2 linked regions of the Oryctolagus cuniculus genome follow. The protein of the gene in region 1 purifies or fractionates together with the protein of each later gene. This does not show direct contact. Links are inferred from orthologs where the notes say so. Each region holds a gene or a part of one and is shown in the gene's direction. Other genes may lie near its edges.

The links. The genes of interacting proteins can lie anywhere in the genome.
Region 2: the proteins of RNF139 (region 1) and INSIG1 purify together in Homo sapiens (affinity purification with western blotting, with the first as the bait; 3 studies listed by BioGRID). This does not show direct contact. The link is inferred for Oryctolagus cuniculus from reciprocal best matches to the Homo sapiens genes RNF139 and INSIG1.

What each region holds. Positions count from the first base shown.
Region 1 is NC_091437.1:150,150,698-150,153,653, forward strand, and holds part of RNF139 (E3 ubiquitin-protein ligase RNF139), read left to right. Parts: intron 1-2,347; coding exon 2,348-2,956. UniProt on the Homo sapiens protein: E3-ubiquitin ligase; acts as a negative regulator of cell proliferation through mechanisms involving G2/M arrest and cell death.
Region 2 is NC_091438.1:13,102,845-13,107,741, reverse strand, and holds the start of INSIG1 (insulin-induced gene 1 protein), read left to right. Parts: upstream 1-1,909; 5' UTR 1,910-2,048; exon of another isoform or gene 2,049-2,171; intron 2,172-2,512; 5' UTR 2,513-2,543; coding exon 2,544-2,958; intron 2,959-4,897. UniProt on the Homo sapiens protein: Oxysterol-binding protein that mediates feedback control of cholesterol synthesis by controlling both endoplasmic reticulum to Golgi transport of SCAP and degradation of HMGCR.

The sequences.
Region 1 (2,956 bases):
TAAAGCAAATTGGATCCTTTTAATGCCAGGACAAGGAAGTTATAGCTGATGGTAATTTCAGAGCTTGGGATTATGCATTTTGAACAGAAAAATGAAGAAAGGCAGTTTGGCTTAAATATAGATTTGGATAAAGTGAGCTTTTAGAGGCAGATTGACTAGTTGGTGTCACTAAGAAAAGGGAGATACAGGTGTTAGTAGAACTTGGCAACTAGTTGGCAAAAATTGAGGGTCTGGGCTGGGAGTAGAAGTACCCTGGAGAAGAATAATGGTACTTACCTTAACTGAAATTGGAAATCACAAAGCAAGCTGGTTTTGGTAAGGCAGATTGAGCTTTAGAACTTTTGAGTTTTGCAGTTTAATGTCGGAGTGGAACTAAATGAGTATTTCGATGTCATTCCTACAGTTGATAGTTGGACAATAATGTGCTTGTTGTAATCTCACTTTATTTATTTATTTTTTTGACAGGCAGAGTGGACAGTGAGAGAGAGAGACAGAGAGAAAGGTCTTTCTTTGCCATTGGTTCACCCTCCAATGGCCACCGCAGCCGGCGCGCTGCGGCCGGCGCACCGCGCTGATCCGATGGCAGGAGCCAGGTACTTATCCTGGTCTCCCGTGGGGTACAGGGCCCAAGCACTTGGGCCATCCTCCACTGCACTCCCTGGCCACAGCAGAGAGCTGGCCTGGAAGAGGGGCAACCGGGGCAGAATCCGGCGCCCCAACCGGGACTAGAACCTGGTGTGTCGGTGCCGCAAGGCGGAGGATTAACCTAGTGAGCCACGGCACCGGCCTGTAATCTCACTTTAAAAAGGATGTTTTTTTGGCCGGCGCCGCGGCTCACTAGGCTAATCCTCCGCCTAGCGGCGCCGGCACACCGGGTTCTAGTCCCGGTTGGGGCACCGGATTCTGTCCCGGTTGCCCTTCTTCCAGGCCAGCTCTCTGCTGTGGCCAGGGAGTGCAGTGGAGGATGGCCCAGGTGCTTGGGCCCTGCACCCCATGGGAGACCAGGAAAAGCACCTGGCTCCTGGCTCCTGCCACCGGATCAGCGCGGTGCGCCGGCCGCAGCGCGCCGGCCGCGGCGGCCATTGGAGGGTGAACCAACGGCAAAGGAAGACCTTTCTCTCTGTCTCTCTCTCTCACTGTCCACTCTGCCTGTCAAAAAAAACAAAAAAAAACAAAACAAAAACAAAAAAGTATGTTTTTTGTCAGAGCACAGAGAAAAGTCAGGCTGGATACACATCATTAGACTGTTGAGATTGGTTAGGGATGGAGTAGAGGAGGGGGAGAGTTAGTACCATTTCTGCTCACCATGTTTTGGTTTCTGAATTTTCCTTTTGTGATTTGAAGAACAGTAAGAATGGTTGGCTGCTTGAAGAAATAAGACTCGGGGAACTTGGAGGGCATTTCTCAAATCTGAAGGGAAGTATGTAGAGAAAAAAGATTGAATTTGGACATTTAGAGAATGCTCAAATTTAAGGAGCAGAAAAAAGAGCTGATACAAGTTCACAGTTTGCAGAAAAGGAGGAATTACGTGGAAGTATAACACTTAAATGTTTGGGTGGTGTCGGCACAGTGGTTAAAAGGCTGCTTGGCTCGCCCACATCCCATATGGGAGAGCTTGTTTCCAGCCCCGGGACTCTGCTTGCAGTCCTGCTCCCTGCCAATGCATCCCCTGAGCAGCAGGTGATGACCCAAGTGCTTGGGTCCACCTCACCCACCTGGGAGAGCCAGGATTGAGTTGCCAGCTCCTTTCTCACCCTGGCCCAGCCCTGGCTCTTCTGGATGTTTCGGGAGTGAACCATAGGCTGGAAGAGCTCTCTCTGCTTTTCAAACAAAATAAACTTAAACACGTAAACTTGATTTCCCAAAAAACACTTTATAATGAAGAATTCTAAGACTTAATAGGAACAAATGCTTTCCATTTGGATTTTTAATTAATGTTTTTTGATAAATTATTTTAAATTTCAAAATATATTTAATTCCACAAATTTAATGATTGTGGAATTACAGTTGGCATGTTTTGAAATATGTTAAAATGGATGTATAACTACCAGTTTGTCTTGAATAAAGATAGTTTAGTAATTGGGTGCCTAGACATACAGTATTAGTTGAATTACTTTGGAAATTAGAAAATAAGGATTGAGATTTTTTAAAAAATAATTTGGTCTGTCCTGTTGAACTCTGACTTTACAGAACTTCTGCCCTTTCAGCCTAAATTGTCTTTAGGCTTAATGTTCATATCTTTGAGAATGTTCATAATTAAAGGAAGAATATCAAAGAATGTAAGTACTAATGGAAAACCATTCTTAAAAATATTTCATTCAAATGACCTTTTCTTTTTTCTTTGTAGGTATCTTTGTATCCAGTATTGTTCTGATCTTGTCCCAGCGATCACTTTTCAAGTTTTACATGTACAGCTCAACCTTTCTGTTAGTAACGTCTGCAGTGCTGGTGAATTACTACGCTGCTTTGCACATTGACTTCTATGAAGGTGCCTACAACACATCAGCTTTTGAAATTGAGCTGCTTCCTCGGAAAGGGCCCTCGCTGTGGATGGCCATCATCCTTCTGCAACTAACATTTGGGATTGGATACATTACACTACTCCAGATTCATTCCATCCATTCGCAGCTAATTATTTTGGACCTCTTGGTTCCTGTAATAGGCTTAATCACAGAGCTACCATTACACATCAGAGAGACTTTAGTTTTTGCTTCTTCCTTGATTCTCATATTAAATACAGTGCTTGTCTTGGTAGTGAAACTTAAGTGGTTCTATTATTCCACACGCTATGTTTATCTTTTAGTGAGGCACATGTATCGAATTTATGGATTACAGCTACTGATGGAGGACACATGGAAGAGGATTCGTTTCCCAGATATACTTCGAGTCTTTTGGCTCACAAGGATTACAGCTCAGGCTACAGTGTTAATGTACATTTTGAGGATGGCAAATGAAA
Region 2 (4,897 bases), on another chromosome or scaffold:
TGAAATAATCTCCCAAATATTTAGAAGCTTAAATTTTTGCAAATTTTCGATGTAGTCGAGATTTATGTGAAGAAGATAAATTTTTTAAGTTTAAAACAAAAAAACAGTGCTGTGGCGTAGTAGGTTAAGCTTCTACCCGAGGCACCGGCATCCCATATAAGCACCTGTTCAAGTCCTGCCTGCTCCACTTCCAATCCAGCTCCCTGCTAATTGCCTGGGAAAGCAGTGGAGGATGGCCCAAGTGCATGGGCCCTCTGCATGAGCCCCAGAAGAGGCTCCTGGCTCCTGATCAGATGTTGTGGCTACTGGGGGAGAGAACCAGGGGATGGAAGACCTCTCTCTCTGTCTCTCCGTCTCTCTATAACTCTGCCTCTCAAATAAATCAATCTTAAAATAAATAAAAATAAAAACACATCAAGGAACAGCCGTTTGACATAGCAGTTATGATGTTGCTTGGAACACCAGCATTCTGCCTCTTGAGTTTCTGGGTTCTAGTCCCAGCTCCACTTCTCACCCAGATGCCTGCTGCTGGCTATCCTGGGAGGCAGCAGGTGAGGTTCAAGCACCTGGGTCCCTGCCACCCAGGTAGGAGACCCAGACAGAGTGCTGGGCTCAGCTTTTTGGCCTGGCCCAGCCCCAGCGGGTGCAGCCATTAGGGGAGTGAACCAGTGGATGGAAGATCTCTTCCTCCTGGTCAAACTTTCAAACAAACTAAACTTTTTAAGTCAAATTCAGGTGAATTTCCCCCTTTCCCTAATGGACTCTGAAAAATACTGATACCTTAGGAGGATATCTCTCTCTTTTTTTTTTTTTTTTTTTTTTTTTACAAGCATCTGGCCTAACAGCCACAAACTTTAACGCCGAGGATGCTACACAGCGACATCTCATGTTGACTCAGTAACTTCACAGTGACTCCCTGGGGTCTCTGGGCCAAGCTGCTACTTAGGGCACAAACTTCCCCAGCACCTCCGCCCATCTGCAGACAACACAGAAGCCCGGGCGCTCTTCCTCTGTTGCTGTTCAAGAACATTTTTAAGGAGCCTGGCCCTTGCGCAACAGCAAGTGGGTTTTCAGCGGGCACCCGGCCTGTCCTGCAGGGTGGCGTGACTTGTCAGCAAACGGGACGTGCAGAAATCACGTCCACGAGATAACACGATCTGTTGTTTTTTTTTTTCCCGCGAGTGCTCTGTTTCGTGTTTGTGCTGGCTTGCTTTCCAAAGGTCAGCAAAGACCACCGGAAACTAGAGGGAGTGGTCACTGGCATTTTCATAAAAAGCTTTGTTGCCACACACACGCGCTCTGGAGGGTGGGAACCAGGAGCCCGCGTAAGGGAACCCCGAACACAACCCAGAGCTCGCAGGTGCGGGGACCCCGAGGGACCCCTCCCCCCCGCCCGGGGGAGCGACGGAAGGGAAGCCCCCCGCGGCCCACGGGGCGGGTCGCGGGATGCGCACCCACACCTGCCGCCTTCACCCGGGCGGGTTCTGCGCGGAGCCGCCGCCCACCCCGTCATGACGCTCCCTGGCCGCGGCGTCAGACCAGGGTCCAGAGGCGGCACGGGCTGAGCCGGGGCCCTGCACGTCCGCCCTGCCTCTGCGCCTCCGTACAGGCCGTGATCTCCACCCACCCCGCCCCTCCCCAGCCCCTCAGTCAGCGAAGCCGCCCTACCCGCTGCCCGCCTTCCACCCGCCGGGAGTCCGGGCCGCGCGCTTCCTCCTGACAGCGCGTGCCCGGCGCGGGCCCGCGGTGGCGTGTGCTCGCGTCATATGGGCCGCCCATCTCCCATTGGCTGCGGCCGCCTCACCAGACCCAGTGCGGACGGGCACGCGGCAGGGGCGGGGCGAGCGGAGGCCACGCCCCCGCGCGGCGCGCGCGGGCGGCGGGTAGGCCTGGCCGAGTCACGTGACGCGGGGCCTCGGCCTGCCATATAAGCCCGCGCGCCCTCGCGGCGCTGTGGCCACACTTGGGGCCGTCCCGGGCCGCGACTCCTCCTCCGTCCCCGCCCCGCCCCTGCTCGGTCAGCCCGCTGGCGGGCGCCCCTCGGCCAGGTAAGCTGCAGGTTGCGAGGGCCGGCGGCGTAGGTGGCAGGAGGCGGGAGATGGCGCGCGCGGCGCCGGGCTTGGCGTCCTAGGCGGCCGGCTGACTGACGCGTGGACCCCGTCTCTGAGGCGGTCGGTTGGCTCGCTCTTACCGCGGGGGGGACCCGGGGCAGGCGCCCGGTCCTCGGCCGGACGCGGAGGGTCTGGACACGGCGGGGCGGCGCCTGCCGGTGTGCACGGCGCTGGGCGGGCGGGACGTTTATACCCGCGCGCTGTGTGTGTGTGTGTGTGGTGTGTGTGTGTGTGTGTGGTGGGGGGGCAGCTGGTCCCGGCGCCGCGGCGGGCATCGGAGAGCCGCGGTCCCGGGACTGGCGATGAAGGGCAGCGACCCACAGGGGCCCTCCCCCCAGCACCCTGCTCTTGGAATTGAACTTGATCACGACTTCGCCTCCTCTTTGCCCTCCGTCTTCCAGGAAGCCCCTCTTCGGACGCCGCTGGTGACTGATGCCCAGACTGCACGACCACTTCTGGAGCTGCTCCTATCCCCACCGTGCGAGGCACCAGAGCCCCCTCAGAGCCCGCGCCGCAGGGCTGGCGGCCGGAGTGGGAGACATGATCAGCTCCGCCGCTGTGCCCGGTCCCTCCCTGCTGGTGGCCCACAGTGGCCCGGACACTGACCCCTCTCCCCGGGATCGGAGCGTTGCGAGCAGTGGCCACCGTGGCAGTGGCAGCCACACCAACAGCTGGCATCATCACTTGGTGCAGAGGAGCCTCGTGCTCTTCTTGGTGGGGGTCGTCCTGGCCCTGGTGCTCAACCTGCTACAGATCCAGAGAAATGTCACCCTCTTCCCCGAGGAGGTGATTGCCACCATCTTCTCCTCTGCCTGGTGGGTCCCTCCCTGTTGTGGGACAGCAGCTGGTGAGTACCCATCCTTGTTATCAGAAAAAATTTAAAAAAAAAAAAAGGGCATCTATTTGGTTAAAAACATGTTTGGGGCCTGCAACAAGCATTTGTTTGGAAATGAGAGCATGCAGAGATGAAAACTGCCATCTCCAATCTCTGTATTTAGAGAAAGAACTAGAGAGGATGTGGGGCACCCAGTGCTAGTCTAAGTCACCCCTCGTTTCAAGTTTGGGGAAGCCCAGTGATGGAGATGAGGTGGAGAGATCATTGGCTGCTTAAGCAAATACTGGGCCAAGTTGACTGAGGTCCCTTCCCTCCAGTGTCCCGGCTGACCGGGGACAGCCTCCAGTATAGCCCACAGCTGTCACCCAGAGCAGGCTGCCCCACGATTGGCCGCCTGCAGAACTGGTGAGCCGCAGCCCTGAGTGGCGATTGGTCGCCCCTGCGAACATGCTACCCTGCTGGATAACTGAAAACAAATCGGTCACATGTGTTCGAGAGGCGGTTGCCAAGGGAGCAACTTCTCAGCACTTCCTTCTGCCGGATCGCCAAGTGCACTGTGGCGCCAAGCCAAGCCTTTTTCCCCCTTGGAACTGTTACAGTGCCATAGATTGGGTACGGGAGGAAGAGCTGTCCCCTTCCTGCTCCTGACAGTTTTAGCGTACCTCGCCCATCAGAGATGCTGTCAGCTGTCACTCGGGGTCAGTGTTTGTAACCAGTGTCTGCTGGGTGCTTTCTATGGCCTTCACTATCTATCAGCTGTTGAAATGTCCTCTGACCAAACAAGTCCCTATCATTGAGCACCCCGTAGTCAACAGTTATCTATGTAGCTACAGTACAAGAGGAAGAAGATCCTTTTCTGCCTTCTAACTAGCACTTAGTGACTGCTGTAGGCTTTGGATGTGTTGCTTCGTTTATCCCATACAATACTGTGCTAGCTAGCGCTCTATTTTATAGACGTGGAAACTCAGTCCACTGTACTGGAGCACACAGCTAGTAAGAGGCAGAGCCACTGCTCTCGAGACTGCAGACCGCCCCCATCTCAGTCGGCTCCCTCGGAGCGTCTCCTTGGGGTGGAGGCCTGGTGGCCCAGCCGGGACACGTGTTATCACAACGATGCCAGACTTGCGAGGCAGTGACTAGAAAGTTCTCATCTCTGTTCTCAGATGGGATCCTCCTTTTGTGTGTCTAAACACTTGAAGTATATGGCTGTACTAATAGAAAACTTTTTTAAGTAATAGATCTAAATTTGAAATTTCCACTTCATTCACCCTTGGGACAGAAGTTTCTTTCTTGAAACCAAAAACTTGATCTGAAAAGAGAACTGGTTGAGAGTATTTGTAATGGAAGCTTCAAGGGATCCTAGGAATATCTGAAACAATTTCTCAGACTCTTTTTTTCTGAATGTCTGGCTAAAACTCTCGCTTCTCGGCTGAAGAACCTAAAATTCCCACTTTTATAGTCAATCAAGTTGCAATTACTGCCTGACTTTGAAGAGCCTCAGGTCTCAGATGCACTTTACACAAGGAACCTCCCGCCCCCCAGAGCCATCCCAGAGGCCTGCATTCCCACTCACACCACTGTGCCTTGCACAATTCCTGCCCTTCTGTCTTCCACTTGCCTTCTCTTCGCAAATGCCATGTCTGCCCACCTAGCCAACTTCTCTGAGATCCTCTGCGGGTGAAGACTTCTAACTGTCGCAGACCACATGACCCCTCCTCCTCTCCCCTCCAGTTGCATAACCCTCATCATTTCACACATGAGAAAACAAACATGAAGAGCCACGTCCCATCAGAGGGCAGACTGGGACGAGAGGCCAAGCTTTGTTTCCCTGGTCAGTGCTCTTTCCACAGCTTGGGGTTGGGCCACAGAAACCAGTACGGGAGGGCCTGGCCGTAGGACGTAACGCAGAGGATGTGTACACAGTAATGCTCAGTGGTGTCTCCTAAGAAAA